Linked DNA regions of Diceros bicornis minor. The protein of the gene in region 3 purifies or fractionates together with the protein of the main gene of each other region. This does not show direct contact. Links are inferred from orthologs where the notes say so. Each region holds a gene or a part of one and is shown on either strand. Other genes may lie near its edges. The genes, in order: FTSJ3, CCDC86, SRPK3 and SON.

The links.
Region 1: the proteins of SRPK3 (region 3) and FTSJ3 purify together in Homo sapiens (affinity purification with mass spectrometry; 3 studies listed by BioGRID and IntAct, with this or other methods). This does not show direct contact. The link is inferred for Diceros bicornis minor from reciprocal best matches to the Homo sapiens genes SRPK3 and FTSJ3.
Region 2: the proteins of SRPK3 (region 3) and CCDC86 purify together in Homo sapiens (affinity purification with mass spectrometry; 3 studies listed by BioGRID and IntAct, with this or other methods). This does not show direct contact. The link is inferred for Diceros bicornis minor from reciprocal best matches to the Homo sapiens genes SRPK3 and CCDC86.
Region 4: the proteins of SRPK3 (region 3) and SON purify together in Homo sapiens (affinity purification with mass spectrometry; 3 studies listed by BioGRID and IntAct, with this or other methods). This does not show direct contact. The link is inferred for Diceros bicornis minor from reciprocal best matches to the Homo sapiens genes SRPK3 and SON.

The regions. Positions count from the first base shown.
Region 1 is NC_080757.1:46,648,049-46,655,504, reverse strand, and holds the start of FTSJ3 (pre-rRNA 2'-O-ribose RNA methyltransferase FTSJ3), read left to right. Parts: upstream 1-4,453; 5' UTR 4,454-4,629; intron 4,630-4,755; 5' UTR 4,756-4,781; coding exon 4,782-4,848; intron 4,849-5,015; coding exon 5,016-5,121; intron 5,122-5,399; coding exon 5,400-5,446; intron 5,447-5,568; coding exon 5,569-5,648; intron 5,649-6,076; coding exon 6,077-6,176; intron 6,177-6,274; coding exon 6,275-6,469; intron 6,470-6,549; coding exon 6,550-6,665; intron 6,666-6,779; coding exon 6,780-6,884; intron 6,885-6,971; coding exon 6,972-7,072; intron 7,073-7,299; coding exon 7,300-7,380; intron 7,381-7,456. Other genes in the region: PSMC5 (26S proteasome regulatory subunit 8), read right to left, coding at 1-68, 161-271, 354-452, 548-738, 844-970, 1,263-1,493, 1,572-1,628, 1,795-1,892 and 3 more.
Region 2 is NC_080770.1:12,563,589-12,571,205, reverse strand, and holds the start of CCDC86 (coiled-coil domain-containing protein 86), read left to right. Parts: upstream 1-4,603; 5' UTR 4,604-4,673; coding exon 4,674-5,335; intron 5,336-7,617.
Region 3 is NC_080781.1:137,846,407-137,854,290, reverse strand, and holds the start of SRPK3 (SRSF protein kinase 3), read right to left. Parts: upstream 3,001-7,884; coding exon 2,954-3,000; intron 2,883-2,953; coding exon 2,752-2,882; intron 2,576-2,751; coding exon 2,467-2,575; intron 2,333-2,466; coding exon 2,245-2,332; intron 1,949-2,244; coding exon 1,861-1,948; intron 1,298-1,860; coding exon 1,191-1,297; intron 1,109-1,190; coding exon 943-1,108; intron 841-942; coding exon 815-840; intron 370-814; coding exon 240-369; intron 149-239; coding exon 1-148. Other genes in the region: PLXNB3 (plexin-B3), read right to left, coding at 4,899-5,003, 5,246-5,320, 5,435-5,510, 5,576-5,640, 5,858-6,005, 6,249-6,409, 6,595-6,773, 7,152-7,245 and 2 more. UniProt on the Homo sapiens protein: Serine/arginine-rich protein-specific kinase which specifically phosphorylates its substrates at serine residues located in regions rich in arginine/serine dipeptides, known as RS domains.
Region 4 is NC_080766.1:34,056,857-34,064,069, reverse strand, and holds the start of SON (protein SON), read right to left. Parts: upstream 3,011-7,213; 5' UTR 2,926-3,010; coding exon 2,849-2,925; intron 1-2,848. Other genes in the region: GART (trifunctional purine biosynthetic protein adenosine-3), read left to right, coding at 6,654-6,798. UniProt on the Homo sapiens protein: RNA-binding protein that acts as a mRNA splicing cofactor by promoting efficient splicing of transcripts that possess weak splice sites.

The DNA.
Region 1 (7,456 bases), on a different chromosome or scaffold from region 3:
AAGTCCTCCTGGGTGACATGGACTCGCCGCTCCCGCAGGGCATACATGCCAGCCTCAGTGCACACGCCCTGAGAAGGGAAAGGAAGACAGGCGCTATTGCTGTGCCTTTGAACCCAGAGCTTCCTGCTTCTGCCCCCTTTCCCTTGGGCACTCCAATTACCTTCACTTCAGCCCCTGATGCTCCTGGCATGAGCTCAGCAATTTTTCTTAGGTTGATCCCCCGAGTCAGGTTCATTTTCCGAGAATGGATCTTCAAAATGTCCAGCCGGGCCTAGCGATGGGAGAGGAAGGGTTTGAGCCCCAAAGCTTACCCCCATAGCCAGAGCCACTCCCAGCACTTGCCCATCACAAACCTCCTCATTGGGGGGTGGGAATTCAATTTTTCTGTCGATGCGCCCTGGGCGAAGCAGCGCCGAGTCCAGGATATCAATCCTATTAGTAGCCATGATAACCTGAGTGGAGAAAGGGGGTGGCATCAGCTAGGCCCTTCCTCAGGCTGCAGGTCACCCAGGCCCTTCCCTTGGCTCATCCTAAGACGCCACCATACCTTGATATTCTTGGTGGCCTCAAAGCCATCCAGCTGGTTGAGCAGCTCCAGCATTGTGCGCTGTACTTCACTGTCCCCTCCAGAACCCCCCTCCAGTCGTGAGGAGCCAATGGAGTCAATTTCGTCCATGAAGATGATGGATGGAGCGTGTTCTCGTGCCATGACAAACAGCTCCCTCACCATTCTTGCCCCTGTGCAGAGGCCAAGCTGGCATTAAGGAGTTGATGAGCTCCCAACCCTTCACCTCCACCCCTTCACTTCCACTTGGTTTTCATGTTTCTAGCCACATGATTTACCTTCCCCAATGAATTTCTGTACCAATTCAGAGCCAGAGACACGAATAAAGGTACAGTCTGTATGATGAGCCACAGCCCGGGCCAGCAGTGTCTTCCCAGTGCCTGGGGGTCCATACAGCAGCACTCCCTAAAGAGAAACAGCAGGACTCAGGGCAGAAAGCCAGCCCCCTCATTACTGAAGGCTTGCTCTGTGCTAGATGCCATGTTAGATGCTAGAGATACAAAAAATGAATGTTACGGTCCCTTCTGGAGCTTGTATCTGAACTACCTCAGTGCCCTGGCAACATCTCTCCCCTAACCCCTCTTTAGAGGGGAGGGTCAGCTCAAGTAGGCTGTAGTCTGTCTCAACCCCTGTGCTCAGTCTGGCCTGGGACAGGAAGTATACAGTACAGCCCTCCCACAGAGGCCCTGCTTCTCACCTTGGGTTGTGCAATGCCCAGCGCTTCAAAGAGCTCAGGATGCTTAACAGGCAGCTCGATCACTTCTTTGATCTCCTTGATCTGCTTATCCAGTCCACCAATCATCTCGTAAGTTGAATCTGGCACTTTCTCCACCATCATCAATGAAACCAGTGGGTCCACCTTATTGGGCAGGATCTTGTGCAGAGTGTAGCTGTCATTTCTTAGAGCCACTCGGCAGTTGGGTGTCACCTGGGCGAGGGGAGATGATTTCAGGAAGTGGTGTGGTGAGTGCTGACCCCAGCCTCCCACCTCACCTGCTGCACTCACATCATTGATGTCAATGTTCTTGTCCACGTCCACAACAAACTTGCCCTCAGGATGTACCTAAAGACACAAGGGGTCGTGACTTTCCCTGACAGCCACCAAATCACCAACCTCACCCAGGAAGACCCATGAGTCCTCGAATAACATGACAGAACAGTGTCCTCCACACAAAGCTATGGAAATACAGTAGGCAATGGGCTGGTCCCTGGAGTCATGCTGCCTTTACCTTAACCAACACTTTCTTCTTATCCATGGCCCGGACGACTTCCCCCACATAGGAGCCCTGTTCCTGCAGCAGCTGTAGCTCCTCCCGCAACAGGCGAACTAGATGCGAAACAGACATAGTGGTCACCCAGCTTTTTTAGTATTCCTCTCCCCCGCGACTCAATTCGATATGCATGAACTAAGCCCCATTTTAAAGTTTTGAAGGGAAGGCCACAAAAAGAAAGTAAAAATTCATGTCTTTAAGGAGATTACAGTGGGGCTCAAGAAAGAGATGTGCATGTGCACAACTGTATAACAGTGCAAAGTATCACCTTGGACTGGGAGAAAACAATAAGTACCAATGTGAAGACTCACTTCAGGGAGATCTGAACAGTCAGACCTCAGACAAACTGCCCACATGCAGCCTTCCCATCCTTCCACTCTCACCTTTTGCATTAAGCTCATTCCTCTGTGCCTGCAGCCTCCGGAGATTTTGGCTCTTGTCATTCACAATTAGCTGTGGAGGACAACAAACAAAGGGCAGAAAATAGTCCAAGGTTAAGATCTTGGCCAAGACCCTCATAGGCTGCTATGAGCTGAGTGAGGGAAGAGCACAGGGCACCTGCATGTTGTTTCAGATTTTCCAATATGATCCTAATGACCCTTCCTGTCCTCCAAGAATCCCTCTGGAACCTAGGGCAGCCACCAAAAAAGGCTGCTGGTCTAACACTGGTCCAGGAATCACAAGCCCTAATGGAGAAAAGTTACAGCTGGCTCAGGCAGTCAATTTCTTGCAGGGCATTAACATGGGAGAGTGGGAAGATACTCCTCAGTTCTAGCCCCACTGCTGCCAATTAACAGCTAGGTAAAGCTCAAGAAAGCCATTTAAAAGGTCTAGATCCAGGCCGGCCCCGTGGCTTAGCGGTTAGGTGCGCGCGCTCCGCTGCTGGCGGCCCGGGGTTCGGATCCCGGGCGCGCACCAACGCGCCGCTTCTCCAGCCATGCTGAGGCCGCGTCCCACATACATCAACTGGAAGGATGTGCAGCTATGACATACAACTATCTACTGGGGCTTTGGGGGGAAATAAATAAATAAAATCTTAAAAGGTCTAGATCTGTTACCGAACTACAAGTAAATATAGCATCACCTACCCTGCCTCTCTTCAGGACTACCATGAGGAACAAACGAAATAACACATAAAAGCATTTCACAAATGATAAACCAAACATAACACCTCCAATGTTAACTAGAGTTCAAAAACTTTCCTTGTGGCTTTCCTCCATCCAATTAGTTATTTTCCTTATCTCTATGGTCCCTGCTCCCTCTTTAGGCTAGAGCACCGGGTAGCCCAATTCCTTTTCATTCAGTCCCATGGAATCAGCATTGTCCAGACTCCTCAATTCCATCTTTCCTCACACTCTCACTCTGCCCCAACCCCTCTCTGATAAATCTCATCTCCGGAATCTGTCTTCCCTTTTATAAGGAACCCTCCCATTCAGGCTTCTTCCAAAAGGAATGGCCTTTGGCTAGCGGTACCTTTTCTGTTAAAATGTGACTCTTGAAGATGTGTAACAAACTGTGAATACTGATTACCTTCAAAGGGGTGGGATTTGAGGGGAACAAGAGACAAATTCAGATACTTTATATCGTTGGCTTGTTACTTCTTTCGCTGCGCCCCCAGTGGAATTAGATGGATTTGTAGAAATCTGCTCCATCAATCCTTCATCCCCCTTCTAGCTCCCTCTGGACCTCTGGAGTCTGTCCTCACCTGGAGTTCTTCAATCTTGGACAGATAATACTGGCGGAGTCCACTGCCTGCCTTCCCCTCTTCCAGCTCCATCTGAAGACACAGAGTAATTACTAAACAACAGGCTAAACATCCAAGGAATAAAGACACTTCCAGCTTGGACTCTGGAGGTTTAAGATCTGGGTTCTAATCCCTCACGCCATCTCTTCAGAACCCTCCATTTCCCCATGACTAAACTAAAAACAGAATGAGAATGCTGCCTACCTCATAAGACTTTCGGGAGAATCAAGAGAGCAGAAGCGCTTTGTACCGAATCAAGCGCCGTACAAACTCGAAGTACTATTACTACAAGCGGAGCCAGGCAGAGGGACGGGCGCTCCGTTTCCTGCGACTCGCGGCCGGGCCGGTTCCCACTCCCATCGCTCCTCTCACTCACTCCGCTTCCACCGTGTCTTCCACTCCCGTCCCTGCCCTGACCCACTGGGGGCGGCGCTGACACAGCAGATCCGGTCACAGGCAGGGCCCCGTCTGGACTGGTCCACCCACTCCCGACCCACCTGACCCTCCTGCCCAGGCCCGCTGCCCACCTCGTATCCAGCCTGCTCCGCATCCAGCCCTGGTCCCCGCCCGACCGCCGCCGCCGCCATACCTGCTCCGGTCCGTCAAGCGCCATCTTCTTTCTTCCGCGAAGACCGCCGGCAGCCAAACCGCCTTGGCGCGCAGGCGCAGAAGCAGGGGCTTGGAGACCGCAGACGCGGGAGAAGAGTTCCGGGTCAATGGGCGGAGTGTGCAGAGAGACGATAACAACTGGGGCCGTGATGGGAGGGGCTTCCCGCGGTCAGGAGAATTGGAAGGTGATGAAAAGGGCACAGAACTCCTAAATGTTACTCCCTAGAAACTCTGTTTTAGTTCAGGTAATCTTCTCTCGTTTTCCCAATTTCCAGCTTTTAAGACCTGGGGAGAGAGTAGTTACAGAAAAAATTATATGGCCACACTCAAAATGGCGGAAAACTTGGAGCCAGGGACGCAAGCGGCGCAAGCAGAAGCGGAAGTACGTTTGCTGCCTACATGTGCGGCTCCAACGAGGTTGAAAACGGCGCTGGGTGGAGGTGAGTGGTGCAGGGTTGAGTGGTGTGGAGCAAGGCGCAGAGTATGGTTGCTACGGCAAGTGGGAAACGGAAAGCGGAATGTAGAGCTCCGGGAAAAAGACGTTCCAAGTTCTACTTTCTCCCCAGACTGAGTGACACTCCCCGTTTCCACCATGGGCAAAAAGGGCAAAATCGGGAAGAGCCGGCGGGATAAGTTCTATCACTTGGCGAAGGAGACCGGTGAGTCGGGGTTCGCGCCGTCTGCGAGCGAGCGAGCGACCATCGGCGGTTCACCTCCCTTTTCGAAAATGAGTTTCTTTTCCGCAGAAGAGTTGGTGGGTTGTGAGGCCCCAGAAATCCCGCTGGGAGAGCGTTCGCGAACTTGATTATTTTGTCGCTGCCCCCAGGTTACCGTTCCCGCTCTGCTTTCAAGCTGATCCAGCTGAATCGCCGCTTTCAGTTCCTGCAGAAAGCCCGAGCCTTGCTGGACCTGTGTGCTGCGCCAGGGGGATGGTGCGTAACACCTGGCACCTGTCGCCCCTGGTGGCAGCTGTCTGGGTTCTGGCCTTGGATGACTGAGTTGCACTGGGGCAGGGATACAGTAATACCACCTCAAATTTTTATACTTTCCAGAACTTAGACTGCAGAGGAAAGATTTGGAACGTGTATGTGTGACATTCTCTGGCCACTGCACTTGATAGAGGCTCCTAACACTGGGGGTGAGAGATCACATTGCCAAGGGAGGAAAAGGGACGGTGCCGGGTATTTTAATCTTTGTTTCTCTTTTATAGGCTGCAGGTGGCTGCCAAGTTTATGCCTGTATCCAGCCTTATTGTGGGTGAGTGACAGGTGGCTCTCCTGGGTGTTTTAGGGGCTCAGAGTATGAGGTACTGTGTTCTGCATTTCCTTCGTCCCTGCTTGAGTCAGCCTTTTGGAATACTCTGATCTGATTTCTTCCAGGAGTGGACCTGGTTCCAATCAAGCCTCTTCCCAATGTGGTGACACTCCAGGAAGACATCACAACAGAACGCTGTAGGCAGGTAATCTCTGTTCCCTTAATATGCACACATCCATGTCTGTTCCTCTTCTCACCCCAAGTTCCCTGAAGGCACGATTTTTGCTGTTTACCATGCCTTGAGCAGTGCATGCAAAAGATGTCTGTATGCCAAGCCCTGTGATATGCCTAGTGTCCACTCCACCCTTTATTTAGTCAGGAATGAGGTGTTTGGAATTGGAGGAAGTGCAGAGATTGCAGTGAAATCCTTTCCAGTGGGCTCACTAGTAGGCTGTAAGCTCTGTGAATACAGGGAAGTGTTATTTTTGTTTATTATTGTATCCCTTGTGCCAGACACAGGATTTGTTGAGTGGGCACTCAACAAATGGCTGGGTGGACAAATGGCTGAACCAGGGACTCCATTCATAGCCATTCTTGTGTTTCTCTTGCTGTAATACTTTGTCTTCTCTGTAGGCCCTGAGGAAGGAGCTGAAGACCTGGAAAGTTGATGTAGTGCTTAATGATGGAGCCCCCAATGTTGGGGCTAGCTGGGTCCACGATGCTTACTCACAAGGTGCTGGGAGTGGGGGGCATGGAGATAAGGGTGGAGGTGGAGGTGGGCATGCCCTCTCAGACTGCAGAGGTCTTCAGCTAACTCTCTGTCTCCCACAGCCCATTTGACACTGATGGCTCTGCGTTTGGCTTGTGATTTTCTGGCCCGTGGTGGCTGCTTCATTACAAAGGTTTTCCGTTCCCGTGACTATCAGCCCCTACTATGGATCTTCCAGCAGCTGTTCCGCCGTGTCCAGGCCACCAAGCCCCAAGCCTCCCGCCATGAATCTGCAGAGATCTTTGTAGTCTGCCAGGGTGGGCATCACTTCTTTCTTTCTCTTGACTTCATCTCACAACTACCAAAGCACATTTTCTTATATGTTCTATCATCTTAGGATTCCTGGCTCCTGACAAGGTTGACAGTAAATTCTTTGACCCCAAATTTGCCTTCAAGGAGGTTGAAGTTCAGGCCAAGACTGTTACTGAGTTGGTCACTAAGAAGAAGCCAAAGGTGTGTTTGGGAAATGGGCCCACCCTCAAGTCTTGGAACTATAGGGAGGCTGGGCCTGGTGGGTTGTACAGACACCCCAGAAGGGACTGCTTAACCTTCATCTCCCTCCCTAAGGCTGAGGGCTATGCTGAGGGCGACCTCACTCTCTATCACCGTACCTCAGTCACTGACTTCCTCCGAGCTGCCAACCCTGTTGACTTCCTCTCCAAAGCCAGTGAGGTGAGTCCTCAAACTTGAGGGGTGTAAGAGAGCCCCAGAAACATGGCCTGAGAATCTCTCCTGACTCCTTTCCCTCCTCCCAAACAGATCTCTCTAGATGATGAAGAGTTGGCACAGCATCCAGCTACCACTGAGGACATACGGGTGTGCTGTCAGGACATCAAAGTGCTGGGGCGCAAGGAGCTTAGGTATGTGGTGGGAGCAGGTGTAGGTGCTAGGAACTCTGAAGGCAGGGAAAGGCCTTTCAAGACCATGACGTTGAATCTTTGGGAACAGGATGCCGCTGTTAGAGGTTTGGGGTGGAGGCCTGAGCCCTAGGGTTTATGTGGCTCAAGAGTGAAATCTGGACCTAAAACAGAGGAAGGGGCAAGGACAAAGGGAGCCAGTAAGGTCAGTAATGGTATTTCTGGGTCAGGTCCCTACTGAACTGGAGAACGAAGCTTCGGCGATATGTGGCCAAGAAGCTGAAAGAGCAAGCAAAGGCCCTGGACATCAGGTGAGGAGGAAACTAAACCACAGTAGGTGTTGACGGGAGGTGTCTGGGAAAATAAACAAATTCCTTGGAATGTTTT
Region 2 (7,617 bases), on a different chromosome or scaffold from region 3:
GGTACCTAGAAGCAGCTGTGCACACACACATAGGAGGAATGGGGAGCCAATATTGAAAGAGGAGAGCGGGGTTGCCGGAGAGGTCAAAAAAAAGGCAGTAAGGCTAAATGACAGATCCTGTTCTTGTCCAGAAAAGCCAACAGCTCATGTCCAGGATCGGGGAACAGCAGCTGGAACCAGACGGAGGGCTTCAAGTGGTGGCTCACCCTTGGGAAGAGGATGGGGACCTGGCCACACTGATAGGAATCGTGGAGAAGGGAGGTGACAAATCTACTCGGCTCTCCATGGGGCAGTCAACCCTGGCTGCCTGAGGGAGCTCTGGGCACCACTTTCTGGAAGGCTCATCAAGAACTGATGTCTTTTCCAAAAAGTTACCATGTTGTCATGGGAGGGACAGCTGAAGGAGCAGATGTTCGGCCTGGATAAAAGACAATTCTGGGGAAGCTACAAGAAAATTGTGTTCAAATACTTAAGAGACCTCAGCATGGAAGAAAGGGCAGCCTGGAACATGTGGCCCAATGAAGAACAGCCATGCTCAGCCCCAGCCCAGTGACAACTCTGCCTCGTCGGGGTCCTGCTCTCTCTCCAGCCACACTCAGCAACATCCCATTTACCAGATGCACCCCCCAGACTGAGGAAGTCCTTACACATCCTCAGCCCCCATCTCCCAATCCTGGGCCTGCCGGACGTGAGAGTGAGGGCTCGGGTTTGGAGCAGGGAAGTCCCAAGTTCCAGTTCTGTCCTTGTACCTTGCACCCTCTCCTTGTGTCACCCTGTCCCAAATCACAACCTCTCTCGGCATTGGATTTCCTTGTCGGTAAACTGGGGATGTTCATCCCTGCCCTGGAGGGTTGTAATGAGCATCCTTCCACTCACTCAGCAAATGCTTATCCAGCAGGGTGCTGGTGCAGGCAATCACATTCCTGCATTGATGCTCCAGGGGGTTAAACGAGCAACCAGGAGAGGCCCAGCACTTAGGAAGGGCTCAGTTAGTGCTGATAGTGGCTGGCAGGACCCGCCCATCTCCGATCTTTGTGCTGAGCAGAGGACCGCGGGATACAGGCCCCCAACACCTTGGACTGTCAAACCCTCTCACATCAGCACCCTTGGCTGCATGGAGGACGGATGGCTCAGAGAAGAATACCCGATCCCTATCTTCAGTCCTCTGTGGTGCATGGTTTCCTTCAGTCAGCAGATCTCAGTTGCATAAATAAGCTGAGGATTGCCCATTCAGCACACTCTGCCCTATGTGTATGCACACAGAGCCACAGCCAGTCCTCGGGGTGAGGTGGCACCCAGCCCCTCCCAATGCACAGACCAGTATCAGTGTGAGGAACAAGCGAGCAAGGCCCACATAAGGGGCAGTTTTAAGGCAGCTAAGCATGTCAGCTCTGGAACTGTAATCCTGGCCCTTCAATGTGTCACTGTGTGACCTTGGGCAAGCACCTTAGCCTTTCTGTGCCTCGGCTTCCTTACCTGGATAACAGAGACATTTACTCTTAAGAGTTGTAGTCCTGGGCCGGCCCCATGGCTTAGCGGTTAAGTGCTTGTGCTCCGCTACTGGCGGCCCGGGTTCGGATCCCAGGCGCACACCAACGCACCGCTTCTCCAGCCATGCTGAGGCGACGTCCCACATACAGCAACTAGAAGGATGTGCAACTATGACATACAACTATCTACCGGGGCTTTGGGGAAAAAAAGGAGGAGGATTGGCAATAGATGTTAGCTCAGAGCCGGTCTTCCTCAGCAAAAAGAGGAGGATTAGCATGGATGTTAGCTCAGGGCTGATCTTCCTCACAAAAAAAAAAAAAAATGAGTTGTAGTCCAGCGGTCAGACAGCCTCGGTATGGATCCCACCTCCACCACTTATTTGCTGTGTGACTTTTACAAGTGTCCCAGCCTCTCTGTGCCTCAGTTTCTTTATCTGTGAAAGGGGAGTCATAACAACAGCACCTGCCTCACAGGGTTGTTGTGAGGATTAGATGGGTTTGTACGTCCAGAGCTCTTGAAAGAAGGCCTGGCCCAATAACTGCTCGCCCCACTGGTTTAGGCTGGGTTCCTCCAGAGCTGACTCTGAGACAAGGATTTTAGTGCAAATAGTCTGTTCAGAGAATGCCCCAGAAGCACCCACAAGGAGTGGGAAAGTGAGGCAGGCACAGGGAAAGAAAGAGAGTGCATGAATGATCAGGTGACCTTCATAGACAACTGGGGCTCAGTCCTACCGGGGGTCTTGGAGGGATGCTAGAGACTCCCTTGGCATCCTCCCACCCAAGGGCAAAGAGTCCAGGATGGCTACAGCAGAAAGCAAAGGCGTATAAGGGAACAGAGTCCCAACAGTGACTGCCACACTGGGCTTTTCTGAAAAATTCAGGAGTCTCCCCTAGGCCTCTGCACACTGTTTATAGTGACAATGACAACTGAGCTTAGGAGGGAGTGGAGGGTTCCAGGCCAAGTTCACGTGATGCCACGTTGATTAAGGGTCTCCACGCCTGATTTGAGGGATGTCTGTAAGACGTCTCCCTCTCTCACACCACCCTGGCAGGTACCTGAGATTACCCTCTGAAGCATTTTAAGTAAGGCCAGGATTTAACCCAACTGGCCTTTGAGAGCAATCCCTCCAGCTGAGGGAGAACGGGAGTTCAGGAAGCAGGGAGCCGAGGAGACCCGGAGCAGGGCAGTGGCAGTGGGGTGGCGTACAGTCTCCTCCAGCGTGGCACGGTTCTAAGTGGCAGGCCATTGGAGTCTCCAGGCAGGGGCAGGGAATTTAAGGAACCGAGGGCTGGAAAGCTGGGCAAGGAGGAGTCTGAGCCGCTTCTGCAGTGGGGAGCTGCTCTGCTGGGCAGAAGACTGAGACGAAACCTCAGTGCAGGGCCTTCCTTGGCCCAGGAACATGAGAGCGCTGATCCTGCGGGTGGAGCCTCTGAGAGGGGCCAGGAAGGCAGGGACTGATATATGATTTCAGCACAATTATTTTGGACGACACGGAGGTCCAGTGGAGAAGACGTGCCATCGTCTTACCCTGAGGGAGGTGATTTCACAGGCTAAAGTTATCAGGATGCATTTTGGATGCTGTGTGGCACCAGCCAAGGAGGGAGAGGCATTAAGGCATTCTCAATCCACTTTTCCACCCTCCAGGAAGCTTTCTCTGGTTTTGCCCCCTCCTTGATCAGCAATCAAGACAAGCAGGACCGGGCCGGCCCCGTGGCTTAGTGGTTAACTGCGCGCGCTCCGCTACTGGCGGCCCGGGTTCGGATCCGGGCGCGCAGCGACGCACCGCTTCTCCGGCCATGCTGAGGCCGCGTCCCACATACAGCAACTAGAAGGATGTGCAACTATGACGTACAACTATCTACTGGGGCTTTGAGGGGGAAGAAAAAAAAGGAGGAGGATTGGCAACAGATGTTAGCTCAGAGGCGGTCCTCCTCAGTAAAATGAGGAGGATTAGCACGGATGTTAGCTCAGGGCTGATCTTCCCCACAAAAAAAAAAAAAAAGACACGCAGGACCTCATTTGACACTTACTCCTGCTCCACTGTCGGCAGAGTGACTCAGCAGCTGGAGGTTGTGCTCAGCAACCAGGCCCTGGCCGTCCTCCTCTGCCCCCTGATCACCCGTGGACAACTTCCCAGGCCCTCCCACAACCACTCAGCTGAAGAAACAAAGGTTTCTAAAAGAAGCCACTGAGACAGCCAGACAGGGACCTTAGATCCCTGAGGGCCAATGCCCAAAAATAACACTGGAGAAGAGCTGGATGTAGTTGGGCAACTTCCAAGATGCTCTTCCTAAGAAAGTCTCGTGCTGTGAGTGACTCAAAGCCCGCTCCTGGGTCTCACGCAAAGGAGGGGAGGAGGCAGGTTCACACACTGGGGCAAAGACGGCTGCCTTGGCTGAAAGGAAGCTCAGAGACAATCCAATCCCTGTGTCTAGAAATGGGGCAGAAGGGGGACCTGAGAGGGTATGCAGCATGGCTGAGGGCCCAGGTGTGCCACAGAACAAAAGGGGTGCATCTTACGGGTACCTCAACTTCAGGCATCAATGCTGAAAATGTTGCAAAGGGAGAGCCATAGACTTGATACTTAGGCACAGAATGGGAGAAGAAAAGGATGTGCAAACTTATATAATGCAAGACTTAAGTGATTTCCCATCTCCAGGATCCGCCAAGTAACATTCACTCTGGCAGCAGAATCATTTTAGATACACTAAACTAATGCAAATCACCCATATTACAGATGAAAAAACTGAGTCCCAAAGAGGGTGGGATCCCAGCCCAACTGCACAGGCGATGGGAGCAAAGTTTCCATCCAGCCTTGCCTACGGGCTCCCTGGATCTTTTTCCAATCTTTTTCTCTCCCGGAAATGGGTCCCCCTTCCCTTCTCTGCCTGCACACTGTGTTTTCCCTGAGAGCCTGTGTTTGCAGATAGGCCAAGCGCGGATTTCAAGCTAAGACTTGCTCATCAATCAAAGGAATGCGCCCAAGCGCTTTGCGCATGCGCCTAGTAAGCCCAGCCCCTTCGGGCCGCCAACCCCGCCTCTCCGCCCGTCACCAACATGGCCTCCCAGGCAACAGCTCCTCGTGCCCAGCACAGACGTGGCGGCTCCTGACGTCATACGCCGGCGCCGGTTGTCCCAGAGGGTGCACGTGGGCTCGGGTTTGGGAACTTGCTGGCTGGGGCATGGATACCCCGCTGAGACGCAGCCGGCGGCTGGAAGGCCTAAAACCCGAGTCCCCCGAGAGTCCCACTTCAGTGTTGCGGGCGAGACGGGCCCTTGTGGAGTTCGAGTCGAACCCAGAGGAAACGAGGGAGCCCGGCTCTCCTCGGAGTGTGCGGCCACCTGGCCTGGGGTCCCCCCGGCGTCAGCAAGATCCAGGCCTGGTGTCGCCCCCAAGACAGCCGGATTCGAGTCCAGAATCCCCCCGACTACAGCGAAAGCCAAGTGGGGAGTCGCCAAAGTGCTCCCAGGGCCAAGAAGAACCGGACTCGGAGTTGGCCCAGAGGAAGGAGGAGCTGGCCCCGGGGTCCCCCCGACATCAGCTGCAGCCGGGCCCAGGATCTTCAGAGCCTTACCCCGGTCAGCCAGCGCCGGGTCCGGAGCCCTCGCCGCCGCTACAGGAGCTGACACCCCCGTCACCTGGCTTCCCCCGGGGTCAGCGCGAGCCGAGCAAGCCACCTGCGGCCGGGGAGCCGGGGAGAGACGGCCTCGGGCCAAAGAAGCGAAAAGGTTCTCCAGCCCGGGCCCCAGCGTCCAAGAAGTTGAAGGAGGAGAATGAGGTTCCCCTGATCCCGAAGGGAAAGCCCAAGTCGGGGCGGGTGTGGAAGGACCGCTCCAAGAAGAGGTGAAGTGGGGAACAGCTGGGCAGGGCTGGGGTGCGACCTGGAGACAGCCCCTGGGTTGGAGAGGGAGTTGGACACAAACAGGTCATTATAATCAGAAGGTGGTAAAATGCCTGGGACCCAGGGAAGGTGAGACCAGGCCCTCAAAGGTTATTTCTGTGATGCTTTTCCTCCTCAGGTTCCCTGTGGACCTCTCCTGTAGCATCTCCTTTGTGTATTCATTCAACAGACATTTCCCCTGGCCTGCCCTCTCTCTAGAGAGGGAGGCAGAAGCAAGTAAGCCAGGCAGTACTTGATAAAAAGCAGTGCGGTCTTCACCCACTGTTATCTGTTACAGTTATTTGCATTTGTGATAAAAAGTATTCCTGAGCGCTGAGTATATAGGACACTTTAGTAAGAGTTTAGTAAGGATTGGCCCCGGGAAGGGCCTTTCAGACAGAGGGACCAGCACGCATTGAAGCCGCATATCAGCCCTATGGGGCAGCAGGTGTTAGGATTTTCCTCAGTTTACATATGAGGAAACTGAGGCTCTGCAGAGGAACCGGGGGTGAACAGACTGTGGGAGGGCAGGGGTGAAAGCAGAGAGCCTGCAGGAGAATTAAAACACCTTCAGAGCTGCAGGCAGGCCTTGTGGCTAAGGGCCAAAGGGCCATGGAATTATGTTTGGGATCTTTGAGGAAGCAGCTTCGGTGGGTGGTGAGTGAGTCCAGAGGTGGCGAAGGCAGCTCGTGTTGCAAAAAGTGGCCCAGCAAAGGGGGGATATGGAGGGAGGCGGTCCCGGCTGGGAAGCTGCAGCCCCACCTTCCATGCTCATGCCAAATGCCACCTTCTGCACAGTGCTGCATGGGTGTGCTGTCTGCCTTCTCTGAAGGGTGGCCTTTATTGAGCACCTACCGTGTGCAGAGCTCTGTCCTAAGTGCTTCTTGAGTCTTGTCTAGATTAATCTTCCCACCACCCTTTGGAATGGGCATGATTCTCGTCTCCATTGAACACGGGAAGGTGCTGAGACCCAGAGCAGCTGGGTCTCCAGGTAAGACTGATGCCATGGAACTGCCCCAATATTTTAGCTGTCAGCCACATGTGGCTATTTCAATTTAAACTGATGAAAATTAAATAAAGTTCAAAATTCTTTTCCTCGGTCACGCCAGCCACATTTCAGGTGCTCAACAGCCAGTGTGAGGAGTGGCTACCTTATTGGACGGCGTAGATATAGAGCATTTCCCCCATTACAGAAAGTTCTGCTCAGCAGCACTGCTCTAGAAAGATGCAGGATGTGACCTGTAGTGCGGTGTGTGCCCAGGTCCCCACTGCCTTGTCCCTTCTGGGTTGTCATACCCCAGTTTGGGGTAGGAAAATTCTTCTGTGCTCAGAAGACCAGGTTTCAGCAGCGAGCTCTTGGAGAGGGGGAGAAGGAGCAGGGGGTGGTGTGCTGGGGTCAGAGGCAGGCAGAGTCGGAGAAGGGGGCGGGCAGAGTCAGGCTGAACATGGACGGGTCTGGGGTCAGGGTCCGGGCTGTGTGTGCTAGACTCCTGTGGAGCAAGAAGCGGGGAAAACGGCCCAGAAGACTCTCCTCCATAGACAGGAGGGGGCTGTGCCCTGCGCGCAACAGCCTTCAGAGGCTGGGGTGGGACTGGCTGACCTACTCTGGCAGTTTGGGGCACAATATAATGGACATGGATGAACAGGAGCTCTCAGAAGTCAAGAAATTGGTGGGGGAGGTGGAGAGGCCACTATGAGAGGATCTGCTAAGGAGAAAAGGCCCGTGGGACACCTGAACAGGCTTCAAATCGTTCCAGGAGAAAGACCTTACAGAAAAGGGGAGAGCATGGTTTCATGAACCCCCCATGTCCTCATCACCAGCTTTACCAGTTCTCAACATTTTACTCGTGTAGCGTCATCTTGCTCCTCGACACTTTTTTCTTCTTTTTTTTTTTTTTCCTGGAATATTTTACAGCACATCCTAAATATGTCATTCCACCCATAAATCCTTGTGGGATGCATTCTTACACAGATAGTCTCGCTTCCCCTATGACTATAGTGTCACTGTCACTCTTAAGAAAGTCAAGGCTTCCCTAATATCCCCGAATGCCTACTCTATTTTCACACCCTCCCCTGATTCATCACAGAGAACTGTGACCATTCACGCTGTTCTGAAATGGAACGGGCCACCTCCGTAGGCAGGGAGCCCCATCTCCAGAGGTGTTCATGCCCAGGGCAACTGCACTTGGCAGAAGCAGCAGAACTTTACAGCAGAGGCCGTGTGCCTGGACTCTGTGGTCACAGA
Region 3 (7,884 bases):
CCTGAGGTCTGGGAGCTGGGGCTGAGGCTGCGGTTGCCCCCCGGGGCGGGGGAGGAGGAGGCTGGGGAGGGGCCAGCCCTGGCCCCCCCGGGGTGGCAGCCGGAAGAAGATGTGGAGCCGCTGCCCCCCTCTAGTCTCAAGCCAGAGTCTGGGGAGACGGGTGGAGGCGGCACGTGAGCAGACGCCCCTGCAGACCCTGCTCCGTGCTTGGCAGCCCGGCGCCCCCTCCGGCCCCTCACCCTCGGCCTGGGCCGCCGCCTCCATGGCCTCCAGCCTCTGCAGGTCCCGCAGCCGCTCTTCCAGCAGCCGCTTCTGCTGTTTCCGTTTGCGCCTCATTTTCTTTCTCTTGTTTTTTGACAGCTTTCCAGTCTGCCATTAGAGCCAGGTTACCCCAGAGTTCCTGTTGTCCATCCCCTGAGCAGCCCGAGCCTCTGCCCGTGGCCCGCATGCCCCACGGTGCCACCCCCTCCAGCCCCTCACCCACCTCCTGTCTCCCCTCCTGCCCTCCACTTCCCAAAGGTCGAGGGTGGAAAGGAGCTGCTAGGCCTGCCTTCCTCTGGGCGCCGGCAGCCCTGGCCCCTCCCAGTCCTAGAGGCAGCGTCCTACCACTGAGGCAGTGGCAAGCCTAGCAGCCACCAAGGGCAGTTTGGGGCATGTGACCCACCCTGTGTATCACCCTCTTCCGGGCCACACAGCCTTTTGGAAGTGCCACTGCAAGAGTGCTGGGGAGGGGGTGGAACCAGAGAGGCAGAGGAGGCGAGCTCCGAGGAGATGGGGAGATGAGGCGCAGGAAACGAGGGGCGCCCCAACTTACCAAAACCTCGTGGGGGGCAGTGCTGACTGGAGGGGCAGGCGGAGCACAGGGGGAGAGAAAGAAACAGAGACTTAGGCAAGGGCTGAGACCCACAGGACCCATCCTAGCCACACACAGGATCTTGGTACCTGTGGAGCGGGATGGGGGCGGTGCCCCTGACTGCTGCCACTCTGTGGCCTCGGCAGCCAGGCGCCTGATGTAGGCGTCCCCCACACACAGCAGGATGTTCTCAGGTTTGATATCCGTGTGAATGATCTTGCATTTGGTATGGAGGTAGTCCAGGCCATGCAGCACCTGGGGAGAGCCACTCCTGAACTCCACCAGCCCCAACCAAGCTGCCTCACAGTGCTCTTCACCCAGGGCCCGGAATGCTCACCTGCCTCACAATGCTCTTCACACAGGGCACGGGAAGGCCCTGGTAGTTGGACTTGATGATCCACTTGAGGAGCTGGTGGCCCAGGACCTCCAGCACCATGCACACATCTGGGGCCAAGAGTGAAGGGCAGCCAGTGGAAACACAGCTGGGGCACAAGTCCCACCCACCCTTGGCTAGGGTGGCGGAGCAATGAGGCTTGAGCAGTGCACAGCTGGGCCTGGGTGGTCCTGGTAGTCACCACCATCCTGGTGTCGTTATAGTGTCCCTGTCACTCTCAGGTGTGCCAGCTGGGATGCTCCATTCTCTGGTCCTCCTAGGGAGGGGGCACTGGAGGAGCAGACAGGGAGGCCTCTCAGGCCAGCCCCACTCCTATGCCCAGGTATGCCAAAGAGCCTCCGGGCAGCCCCATGGAGGGAAGGCCCTGCCACAGAGGCGGCCCCTGCCATTTAGGGGTAACTCAGCAACGCCCATGGGTAACCCACGCTGACCTGGTAATCCACTCCCCACCACATAAACACATCCCCAAAGTGGTGGGAGTATTTCATAGACTAGTGTCACTGGAAGGGGTAAACCCCCATCGTGCAGATCAGCAAACTGAGGCCCCAGTAGCTGGGAGGGCACAAGGGGCCCGTGCACTGCCACACGGCTTTGCTCAGCCTACAAAGGATACGGACTCCATTAACTCCTGAAATCCTGAAGTCATCAATGAGCTGGACAATGGTCTCTCTTTTGGGGTCGCTGGGGTCACTGTCTCGGACCTGGAGCAAAAGCCAAGGGGCCACAGATGGCTCCAACCTGTCCCTCACCAACTGCTCCCCTCAACGGCCCCTGTGGCACCTATGGCCCTCTCTCCCTGTCTGGCTGGGCCCTACCGAAAGAAAGGCCGCCGGCCCCTCCCTCGCCTCCTCCTCCAGGTCCTCCCACGGGGGCAGAGCCAGCTGGAGCCAGCCCTTCTGGGAGCCCCGCCCCAGGAGCCCCGGCAGGCCTTGCACCCACATTGCCAGGCCCCAGGCAGCTCTCGGGGAGCTGGGAGCGGGTAGGGGAGGCGCCTCACACATTTCAGGAGCTTGATCTCATCCACAGCTGTCTCTGTGTAATGCCCTGCGCTCTTCACCACTTTCAGGGCCACGAAGCGCTTGCGCCTGCAACACCAAGACCCGTGTCGGCTGCCAGCCCAGGCTAGACCCCGGCAGGGGACATTGTGGTGACCCCAGCCAAGTCCAGGGCCAGGATCCCAGCTGGCACTGGGCCCCGGAGGGATAGAGGGGGCACTCACTGGATGTCCCAGCAGAGCCAGACGGTGGAGAAGTGGCCCCAGCCCAGCTTGCGCACCACGTGGTACCGCCCATTGAACAGGTCGCCAATCTTCACGGGGTAGTAGCCACCTGGGGAAGGAAGCCAATAGAGCATGCCGGGGGACGTCGCCTTCCGCTATGCCCCAGGACAGCCTGGCCCTGCTGGACCCCTGGCCCATATGGGCCAGCTCCGGCACCCTCCACCCTGGCTGTCCTGCGCCCCTGAGGAGGCTGCGTGGCTGCCTGTGCCTGAGGCCAGGCCTCACCCTTGCAGTAGTCCTTGGGGTCCTCCTGCTCCTCGTCGTCGGAGCCCAGCAGCCCCTGCAGCATCTGTGGTGCTGGTGTGGCAGGGGCTAGTTCGGAGCCCGAGGACTCGGGGCCGCAGGAGGTTTGCGAGCTGCGGGCGGGGTGGGTGGGCAGTGAGTGCGCGAGACGCCAGGGGCCCCGGGCACCCGGGCCGAGCCCTACCTGCTGCTGCTGCCGCTGTCCCTGCCACAGCCCGCGCTGGCGCTCATCCCGGCTGCGCGGCCCGCAGCTCCGGCGCCCCGGGCGGCTGCTCCTGTGGGGCCTGGCCGCGGCCCGCGCATTTATAGCCTCGGCCGCTGATCTCACCCGACTTTATAAATAGCCTCCCAGCTGCTCGGCTGTGGGCAAGGTATGCGGCGGGGAGGGGGCGGTGCGGTGATGGCGGCCCGGAGAGCCCGGCCTCCAGGGCGAGACCCCCAGCCCCCGCACCCCCGCCGGGCTGGCAGAGGGGGCCACCGCGGGGACGTAGCACAACCCGGCCTCCTCGCTGAGCCCCCCTCCGCATCCCAGGACCAAGGGGGACAGGCATGTGGGGATGTGGCCACCCGTTCCCCAGGCTAAGCCCCTGCACCCCAGGGCTGGCAGAGGGGCCCACTGAGTGCAGATGTGGCAGTGACCTGGTCCCCATGCTGAGTCCCCGCACTCCAGAGCCTGCCGAGGGGGACAGCCATGCAAGGACATGGTGGACATGGCAACCTGGTACTCAGGCAGAGCCCCACCCCACCCCCCACGTGCCATAGGGCACCAAGTGACACTTTTGGAACATTCTCTGGCTTCCTGCTTGGCCTTTGTGGGAGCCTTCCCTGAGGTGATTCCTCCCATTCCTATGGGTACCCCGTTCCCTGCCCACTCTCAGTCAGGTTCCCACTTTGCCTGTGGCTCTTTGACCCCTAAGACAGATGGGAGCCCAGTTCCCTCCTCTCCCTGAATGTGGTGTCACTGGGGGCCCTGGCTGGGTGAGGGTCAGAGGCCTGAGCTGAAGGCAACGCATTCCTCCCACCACAGGTGCCGGGCCTGAGTGGAAGCCTGGGAACCTGCCCATCCAGGACTCCCACGGTGAGTCTGTGTGCTCTCCCTCCCAGCTCCCTCTCTGCTCCAGGCCTGCGATCCCTGACTTGCTCACTGTTTTCACCAACATGTGCCCTCAGGGGTCCTCCTCTAGTGGAGAGCAAACAAGCCCACATCTCGACCGAGCTGTGACAGAGGGACATCCAGGTCAGGGAAAGCCCTCTGGAGCCTGTGACCTTGGGGCTGCATACGAGAGACCAGGAAGAATCGGGTCTCGAGAAAGGGGGTGGGTGGGTAAGCGGCAGCAGGATGGGCTGGAGACCCCTGTGGGAGAAAGGAGGGAGGCCTCGGGTGGCCAAGGGGCACCTGTGGGCTCTAGTGGGTTCCAGCAGAGGCTGCTGGGCACTTTTGCTCTTTAGAAAGATCACTTTGACTGCTGCCAGGAGGGAATAGAGGGGGCAAGAGTGGAGTTGGGAGGCCGGCTGGGGGCTGTTGGGGAGTCAGAATGAAAAGGAGGGGGCGTGGAGATGACTGTAGTTAGCCTAAGGTGGGAGACACTTAGCCCTGTGTCCCTGTGCCAGGAAAGAACTGGTAGGGTGGAGTGGGCATAGATGGGGGCGGGAGGACAGGGGCAGGGGAGGCAAGTGGAGGGAGGAGAGCAAGGCCTGGGGGTGCCTGATGACCCCATTTTTCCTCAGGCAGCAGAAGCCACAGCCATGGGGCCGAGGGGAAGGCCGTGCAGGGAGCACCTAGTAGACTCGCCGGGGAAGGCAGGGGCTTTTTCTAAAAAGACAGATTTCTATTTTATTTCCAGATGTGATTCTCTAGCAAGCAAATAAATACAGTGAGGGAGGGGGGAAGGGGTAAGGATGGCTATAAATTAGAAAGAAGCCCAGGTGGGGGAAGGAAGGGTGCGTAGGCGCAGGGAAGAGGCAGCAGGGAGCCCCCGGGCAGGCACAGCACCTGGCTGTGCCCCTTGCCCCCCCTGCTGGCCCCTTCTTGGTGCTGGCTTGATCCAGGGGTCGTAAGGCACTGCGGTGGTGGGTCCTGCTTGCTGCTCTCCAAGCTGGCGGCCTCTGGCACCTGCTGTGGCCCAAGCTCACAGGTCAGTCACCTTGTTCTCCACCAGGGCGGCGATCTGCTGTAGGCGGCAGGCCAGCTGCATCTTCTGGCCCACAGGGTCCTCCTCCAGGGCGCTGATGATCTGCCAGGGCAGAGGAGGGCACCCTGCTTGAGGCCTTAGCCCTCTGCTCACTGGCCCAGGGCCCCCCAGCTCTGCTTCCGTCTCAGCATTGGCCTGGGGATCCTGTAGGGGCTGCCCTGGGCCTCCCTGAGGAATACGGATGGAAGCCAAGCCCCTTCCGCCCTGCCCCCAGGGAGGTTCCTGGGGCCTCCCTCTGGGCTCTGGGGGCCTGCCCCTCCCCCCTGGAGTGCCCTGGGCCTCACCTGGTCGTAATACCTGTGGATGTGCTTGTAGAGCTCTTGTAGAGCTTCCAGGCAGTGGGGAGCAGAGGCATAGTTCTGGGGGCAGCACATGGGGGGATGAGGCCCCAGCCTGGGCCTCAAGCCCCAGGTCTCCCTTCTCCACTCTGCCCCCTAAATGTGGAGGATTGTACCCCTTGGACCATGCCTCACCCCAGAGAGCTCAGCCAGTGCCGAGTTCATCTCCTGGTAGCTCGCCGCAGAGCTCTGGCGAATGTCATAGTAGTATCTGGAGAAGGGGACACAGTTAGCGCGGGCAGCCCCCACCCCCAGCCGTGATGCCCCAACACCTACCTCTCTACCATCTGCTTGTAGCGGGGGATCTCCCGGGCGTAGAGCAGTTTGTTCACCGGGGAATCCTGCTCCGGGTCGGGGGGGTGGGGCGTCAGCGGGGAGGGAGTGGAGCTCCGGCCCTGTCACCCTGACAGCGCCACTAGGGCCCCATCCCCCTGACCTCCTGGCTCCCACTAGGCACCATCCCCCAGCCCCACCCTGCTCTGCATCGAGCCCCCATGGTTTCCCCATCACCCTTTCCTGTTGAACCCCCTGGCTGCCGCCAGCCAGCTCCGCTCTCACCCGGCCCACTTTATGCTCTGAGACAGTGCAAGAGTCGATGAAGGTCTGGGCGATGACGGCGAGGATAGCATCCACATTGTCCGACACCCGCACGTCAAATATGAGCCGTGGGTTCTTCAGGGTGTTCACCCAGAACCGCAACAACAGGCTGGGGACACAGGCCGTCCATGGGCATGGGGCCTCACATCATCAGCCTGGGCCCCAGCCCAGGATCCCCATTCCCTGGGGAGCTGTACTGTGAGCCCATGCTGGGGGCAGCCAGAAATCCAGGGTGGGTGCCGCAAAGCCTGGGTTCCTGTCCTGGGCCTGCCACCCCCGCTCTGGTAATGTCCTTGTCCCTCTGGGACTCCATGTCCCATCTGCTTGGGGGCAGGGGCAGCAGCCGAGGCACCTATTAGTCTTCCAGATGTGCAAGGTCTCCGGGTCCTCAATGCCGTGCTTCTCTGCCAGCTCATCCAGGAAGTCAAACAGGTACTTGACAGCGATGGGCACGGGCCGGTTCACGCTGAGGATGGCCTGGAATGTGTCATCCACAAACTTCTGTAGTGTGCCCTGGAAGGCAGGGGAGGGGGCTGGGTGACGAGCAGGATGTGGGGCCCTCGAGGTGGTGGCCAGCCCCAGGCTCTGTCAGCGGGTGGGGCCGCCCCTCTGCCTCTCAGGGCCATGCCCTCTCCGCAGCTCAGTTGGGGCCCCCTTGGTGAGCCTTCCCCGCCACCTGGCTCCCCCACCACACTGACCTTCATGGACAGCAATCGGGTGAGGTAGATCTCCGGAATGGCTTTGGCCCGTGCCCGCTCCCGTTCCCGCTCCCGCAGGCTGCTGCGCCGCACCTTGGCCCCTTCTGGCTCCTCGGTGGCTTTCACCAGGTGCCAGAGGCGGACCCCACCCTCCTCACTGTCCTCTGGCATGGGGATGTCTGAGGGCACAGAAGCCCACCTCAGTCCTATGCCTCTGCCCCCAACCCCACGCCACTGGCTGAGGATGCCCAGCCCACTCACCTGGTGGGGTGGAGCAGGGTGGGGGGAGCCGAGAAAGTAGGGCAGGGGAGATGTGGAGAGGAGGGTGGCAGCCCAGGGACTTGCTCAGCCCAACACCCCACTACCTTGGAGCTCCCTGACCAGGACACACCGCTGCCCTCATCCACCCCAGGCCCTTGGCTCAGCCTGGAGCTTTGGCTTGCCCGCTGGCAAGGTGGTGGGGAGAACCAGGCAAGGCAGATGGCATCCCCAGGACTCCTGCCGGCTCGCCTCAAGGTCCTGGGGACAGATGAGTGCGTCTGGGCTGCAGGACTCACTCTCCCGTGAGGGGCAGCTCTGGGCCAAGCTCTGGGAGATGGCACCTCCATTGTGCACCTGGGGGATGAGCCCCACTGTGGCTCCATCCGGGACCTGGCGGGGAGGGGAGGAGAGGCTGGGCTCCTCCCCTGGCTGATCCAGAGGCGGGGGCCCGCCCCCCGGCCCATGCCCACCCGGCACCTTGTAGTGCTGCAGAGTGTTGAGTCTCTTCCAGTGGTTCTGGGTCACCGAGGTCAGGTCCTCGTCTGACAGGGTTAGGTGACCAGCCAGGCCCGAGCGCCACTCTGGAGGGACCCAGGGAAGCCAATCAGCCCAGAGCCTGTTCCCCAAGTCCGCCATTTGGAGCAAGGCAGAGCTGAGCATGGAGACGTGGGAACAGGCCCAGGCAGGGAGGAGGGGACGGGCTCTCTTACCAAGATCTAGGGCATGCACTGAGGGCCTCTGGGAGAATGGGGTGCCCTTGTAGACTTGGTCCAACACCTTCTCCTTGACCTGGGTGATGGTGTCCGTGTCGAGGACCCGGGCGGGCACGCGCTGTGCCGCGCTGCTCCCGGAGGCCCCGCCAGCCCCGGGGCCCACCAGCACCATTAGCGTCAGGGGCCGGAACTCCACGTCCTCCCGCAGCAGGCGGCTGTTGTTCAGGGTCCGTTTCGCCTTGCCCGTCACGGCGTCCACAGGCCCCTTGTCCACCTGGTACTGGATAGCCCGGAGGAGCATGTACAGCGGCTCACC
Region 4 (7,213 bases), on a different chromosome or scaffold from region 3:
AAAGTTAAGAAAAAGTCTCTGAACAAATTTATAAGCTCATCTTTTTTTTTTTTTTTTAATAAAATTCTCCCAGAAACCTAAATTGATTTAGATTTAGGTTACCTGCATATTTATCTCAGGGAAGGAAAATTAAGATTGCCATCTCAAATCCAAAGAAAAATATATGACCTAACATTATGGGAGAAGCTATAGCCACGATAAAGCCACGCCTGTGCACGGATCATAATCAGTATCAAGGAACACAAACACATTAAGTAAAAAGGGTAACTTGCAGCCTCTGATCAGGTTTAGACTTAAGTTACTGAAATGCCATAAACTTTAAAAACATTTTTATCCAGTTATCAAAAATCCTGGGATTAAAAAAATTCCTGGTGTTCAAAAAAAATTCATGTAAAACAAGTGACAATTCATTATACTAACAGTAAAGGAATGAATGGCTTCACATATTTTCAATTCACAGAGCCAGAACAATCTTGACATTTATTTACCCAGTCATTCTTACTATTTTTGCTTACATTTACAAAATTGTTTTGAAAAATAACTTCAACAATTTAACTTAAATTTTAGCTAACAAAACAGACACAGCTAACAAAAACTTATGCTTCCAATACCTGATAAAAGCCTGAACAGTCAAAAAATTTAAAAATTCAGTATTCAACTAAATGTTATTAAGGAACAGTTGGTTTTCTAATATAATGAATCATATAATAACAATGAACATTTATGGACCATTAATTAGTGTCACCCAATTCTACATTTTAATAACTCATTTAATCCTAACAAAACTCTAAGATCATCATTATTACTCTCATTTTATAAACGAGGAAAACGAGGCAGAGACAACAAACCTAGCTGAAGGTCACATCTATTAAGAGGTGAAACTGGTATTCAAAACCAGAGCTCATATTCCTAACCCCCATCTATATATGATAACTATCTAAATGGAAGTCTCCTTACCCAAACTGATACATATAAAAACAGGTGGGAAAAAATGCAAATATAGCTCACTGAAATGGCAAATAATCAAAAATTTGTTTTCAGACTGGTAACATATTACCTATTATTTAAGAAGCTGAGCATTCCTCTAGTAATAAATTGCTTTAATATCCTTTTTAGATTTTCTTTCCAGAACTCTTCATTTTACACTTTTCTTAAGCACTTACACATACATAATTACCTCACTAAAAAGGCCAGTCTATGAGAAAGTTATCCTCTTAAAGCTATCAGAATGTTTACCTCAATTGCTGAAAAGGGATGAAAATTTCAAACCATCTAACTATCCATCAATACGTTCCTACAATAGAAGTCTAAAGAGCCATGAAAAAGTCCCAAAAGACTACTAAGACTGTAATAGAACACAAACTTGTTCACCATATGTATATTACGTGAAAAAAAACAACACAAAACACGATCACATTTCTCAAAACATGTATATGCAACTGTACGCAAAGGAAAAAAACGAAAGGACATAAAGAGCATCAATATAATTAATTGGTGGATTTTTATTTTCTTTCTCCTCTTTTTTCTAAATTTTCTACAATGAAACTCATTTTCTATTACAAAAACTGATTCTTAAAAGGAATAAAAACAAGGCATTACAATAAAAAAACACAACTACTTATTGCACGCAACTATTAAAAAGTTTTCAGGAAAATTATATTCCCTTAGCTCAGGTCTTTTCTCATCAACCTAAAATCACTAGCACAAAAAAATTTTTAAAGCAGTGAAATGAGTGAAGAGATACACCTTCCAGTTAAAAAACAATATATCCTGCAAGAATAATAATTCCAGCAATACTACATCATTGCCCCCAATAACTCTATGTTAATTTGAGTGCTTAATTTACAATTGCGTTTTCGGCTGATTTTCAAATTCACGTATTGCTCTTGCTCTCAACTTTTAAAAGACAACTAGCAAAAACATTTGAACTCGGAACAAACAGTTACGTTATTATACAAAGCAAAAATACTAAAAGACAACCACTGAACGACAACATGATCCACGCTATTCTCCCTACTGAGGAAACAACTATTTCTTCGGAAATCTCTTCCCATTCAAATTTGGGGAATCGAGGATAAACTACGTAAATTCTAACAGCAAAGGCAAAAGAAACGTGTTGCTCAAATATGTCACTTGGGGCAGGGGTAGCAAAAAAAAAAAACTGAGACCTACACACAAACCCCGCTTTCCACTTGGTAAATTCAGAAATCACTAGTAATTCCAAGTCCCCTTCCATCCCCGCCTGGAATATTTCGCCAAAGTAGCTAACGTGAATCTGAGCCGTTTTAAATTGCTAAGCTATTAGAACGCGGCCTGGTGGAAGCCACTGGACACTAGGGCCCAAATAATCTAATTAAAGGATCCCGATCCCCAAATGATCTGCAGCTTGCAATAATAAAGCGGATTTAAGATTACCCAAGAAACAGCCGTTAGAGACCCTTTCCGGTCAGAGGCACCGGCCGGCGAGAGCCGCGGAGGCGGGGAGGGGGAGGGGGACGCGGCGGCGGCGGAGGAGGAGCCGAGGCAGGAACTAGGCCCGTCCCCGGCGGACACCCAGGCCGCCGAGGAGCCAAAGGGTAGGGGATGACCAAACCGGAGAGGAGGGCGAGCATCGTAACTCGGTTCTAGAAGAGGGAGTCTGGGGTTCCCTGGGAAAGGGCGAAGTTCCTGGCTGGGAAGGGAGCGAACGGATGGGGGGGGAGGGCCCGGAAAATGGATCCCAGGCCCAGGCGGGGCTGTAGCGGGGCCTGAGGCGAGGAACGACGGCGCCTCAAAAGAGAGGTGCCATGGAAGGCTACACGGCGCCCTATCGGTCCCTTGGGAGCAGAAGAGTCTGGGAAACGTTTACCTGGAAAGTTCCTGTTGAATTTCCCGGAATTTACTGACCACGAAAGACCTAAATATCTGCTCGATGTTGGTCGCCATGGCGTCCGCTCCGTTCTCTCAACTCCTCCTCGCTAGTCCTCCAGGCTCCCAGCATGCCTCGGGAGGAGGCGCAGAGGCCAATTCCGTCTCTCGCCGTCCTGATTGGCTCCTGGGAGAGCGCCCAGACCGGCACGTTCCACCGCTGAACCAATCAGTGAAGACGGCTCCGCTCTCCTCCGCTGTTTCTGAGCGTCTGGGGTAGAGCTGCTGACGTTTGCGCCGCGCACGACTGTGTCCGCCATGTTAGTGACTGACGCAGGCGCCATTACAGGAGAAGTCTCTGTTGAGGGAAGTCTGCGAGCTTAATGTGTCAGTCCCCAACGGTGTTTGGGGGACTTAAGAGGCTTATTTTAGCCACCGAACGCCCGAGATTAAATGTCAACAGGAAAGGGAGCAAGAAGGGCAACATGGTGTTTGATACGGGCCCCCCAACATTCCCGGGTGGCGCCAAGTTGAGTTTCAGCAGGGAGATGCGTCCGGAAAAGCATTAATCAGCGCCCGCCCCCACTGTGGTGCAAATACGAAGAACACGCTTTCACCCCATCTCTCTCGCAGGGGATCCTATAATCGGCTTCATTTCCTTTTTTTCTTTTTTAAGCAATAGGCGGGAGGTCCTGAGCCATCTGCATTCAGAGGCTGGTGCATTCTAGTCCCGTCAGGCGCCAGGCGTGTCACGAGACTTGTACGCGCTGCCTGGTCAGTTCTGCCTCGTTAGCAACACAAGCAGCTAAGCGTGGAGTTAGCATTTTGGCGCTGCCCCTCCTCTGAGCTTGGGAGGCTCCCGAGAAGGAACAGACACGCTACGTGGGCCTGATCCTCTAGTGTTACAAGAGAAACGCGCCAGGGTCTGATAGCCTTGCTCTGGAGTAGGCTCAGGGCGCGCCCGGCGCGGGAGGGAGTCCCACTTAACCCCGTCTTAGCGGGAACCAGGGGCCGCGCCGACCAATGGGGAGGAGAAGCCCCGCGGGGCGGGCGGGGAGGCGCGGGCCCGCATCCGCTCGGCCGACATCCGGCGCGGGCAGGCGAGGCGGGTGAGTGCAACCTGGAGACGGCCTTGTGTCGGTGCGTAACCCCCTCCGCTTTTAAGTCCATTTATGCTTTGGTTGGGGGCTTTAATACCAGGCATCGAATGAAACTGTAGGAACTGTTCGGCTGTGGGGATTGTCTTATTTTTAAACGCCGTGGGTGGTGGGGGGTGACCATGTGCTTTTCACTTCTTTGGACTGAGGTTTCCATTGGCTCTGTCACTTTCCCTGCTTTCTAAGATGTCGGGACCTTTTTGTGTCTTTAGGCTTTTTTTAGGTCGTAAACCTCAATTGCGTATTTTCTCGTTATGCACCCACTGCCTCCAGCAGATTATTTCGTCGACTTTTGGAATTGGTTTCTGCTTTATATCATTCACCAAATCTTTTGAAATGGCTTTGCCTGGATCTCTCATTCTCGTTATGTTACCCATTTAGGTGACAGAGGCCTAAGAAGGTTAATTAAGTCCCTCAAAGTATCCTAGCTTAAGGGGCAGAGTCTTGGCCCAAAACAAGGCCTGCTCCCCGCTCCTGAGGTAGATTCCTTCCAGCTGAGTCCTAATGCTATTTCAGTGATCCACTTTACTAACCAGGACAGTTTCCCTTCCCTGCCCCTCGTATTCCAACTGAACGTAATATTTTCTCCAGGTTCAAAGGTATGTTTATTTCAGATATTTTAATACACGTGTCAAGTCTGTGCTTTCCATTAAACTAAAATAGCTTGTCCCCCTCTGAGAGGGTAATTTAGCAGGGTTTTTTTCTCTCCTCAAATTTTCAGTGATCACCGTCTCAATCGTTAGGGTATCTGAAGCAAAACTGCATCCGTTGGAATCCAGGCTCCACCCCTTACTGGCTCTAGTGACCTCTAGCAATTTTACTGGACCTCGCTTTATCTGTAAAGTGGAGATGGTAATAGTATCTACCTCATAGGATTCTTACAAAGATTAAGTGACGTAATTCATGAAAACAGTTTAGAATAGCATCTGGCACAAAGTAAGTGCTCAAAAAGTGTTTTTTATATTATCAGGTTAGATTTTTCTTTAAATGGGTAATCCTATCGTCTCATAAGTTACTGATTTCAGTCTTCTTTTTCCTGTTATCAGTTTGCCTTCTACATAAATGTCTTCTGAAAATTAGTAAATTAATGTGACAAATTATTCATTACTTTGGCTTTTTTTTTTTCCTGTTAGAACTTCTTTCTATCCGTAGAGTACTATCAATTTAGGTAAAAGTAATAAATAAAATATAGCAAGTTAGCGTTTACTGCTGCTGAGTGTCAGAAATTGCACTAATTGTTTATAAATGTCATTTCAGTTAATCTTAAGTAGCCTCATAAGGCAAGTTCTCTTACTTCCATCTTTTAAGATGTGAAGAAATTGAATTACAGATAGTAAAAGCTTACTCAATGTCACACTGCTCACTTGAGTTGAAAGAGAGTGCTATTGCACCCATCCTGCTCAGAATCATATGCCAGAACTAAAGTGAGATGTGTTCAGATTTGATTTTTGACTTTTCTACCAATTTTCTAACTTATTGCACTAATTTCTTAAATCAGGGGTCAGCAAACTACGGCCCTAGTGCCACATCCTTCCTGCCGCCTGTTTTGGTACAGCCCACCAAATAATGATAATTTTTATATCATTAAATGATTGGAAAAAAAATAAAAGGAAGAATGATGTTTTTGACACATGAAAATTATACAAAATTCAAATTGCGGTATCCATAAATAAAGTTTTTTTGAAACACAGCCATGCTTATTCTTTACAAACCTCTGGTAGCTTCCTATTGCTTAGTGCAGACTGTGACCTACAGGCCACTGCCTATGTATACTGGACATAGCATCCATTTATGTATTGGCTGTGGCTGCTTTTGTGCTACAGTGACAGAGTTCAGTAGTAGTTACAGAGATTATGGCCCTCAAAGGTGAAAATATTTACTATCTGACTTTGTAGCCCCCAGTCTTAATATTGCCTCCAATTTATGATAACTTTAACGTCTATTATCTATACGATCTCAAGGTTTAAAAACAGTTATTTCGGGGCCAGCCCGGTGGCATAGTGGTTAAGTTTGCGCGTTCAGCTTCGGTGGCCCAGGGTTCGCTGGTTTGGATCCCAGGCGCGGAGCTACACACTGCTCATCAAGCCATGGTGTGGCAGTATCCCACATGCAAAAGAGAGGAAGATTGGCACAGATGTTAGCTCAGGGACAATCCTCCTCAAGCAAAAAGAGGAAGATTGACAATGGATGTTAGCGCAGGGCCAATGTTCCTCACACACACGAAAAAAGTTATTTCAAGTTTTGGGTCTAAATTTAAAACATCAAGATTCATTTTTAACTGAGGCTTGATGATTACTAAATCTTCTAAAGGAGAAGCCCAAGGAAGGGTGATTATTCATAGATTTTTTTTTTTAACAGGTAAAGAGCTAAGTCGCTGTTGCATTCCTTAACCTAGCTGTCTAGGCCCATCTGCCTCATTTTTAAAATACCTCCCTAATCATTATGAGTACAGTCATATTTCTTAAATTATGAATCCTAATTTTTCACAAATAAATTGTTGGAATAAAATGTCATTGTATGAATACAAATGACTACGTAAATCATGTTTAGAAATCGTGACTTCTGAAGTATGTGCATTCTGAAATACCAACTGTGCTTTTCTTTCTGCAGCTTTCATTTTCCTTTTGAATTCCTGCTTTGCAGACAGCAATGGCAGCTCGAGTACTTGTAATTGGCAATGGAGGAAGGGAACATACGCTGGCCTGGAAACTTGCTCAGTCTAATCATGTCAAACAAGTATTGGTTGCTCCAGGAAATGCAGGCACTGCCTCCTCCGAAAAGATGTCAAATACTGGTAATTATGTTTTAAAGTGGGGAGTAATAGTTAATAATTGTAAATGATAAATTGTCACCTACATCTGTTCTTTATAAGGTCACTTGCTATTCTGATTTGAATACTTTTCCTAACCTTAAAATTTGTGTGGTAATTTGAATACTTGGCATATGTTGTAAATTTTAGATATCCTGTTGTTCAGAGTGTGGCATCTCCTTACCTTAAATTATTTTAAACCTTATAAAACACATCCATTGGAAAAGTCACAAGTGTCTAATAGAGGTAAAAGGCATTTTGATGGGTATTTTTGGAAATGAGAAGTTGAGCAGTGCTATTAAATGTAAGTTCTGGCAATTCTAACTCCATAATAGATCTCAACCCTTATGTCTTCCACTGGTAAAAATGAAAAAATGATCAGATCATATGCTACATTAAA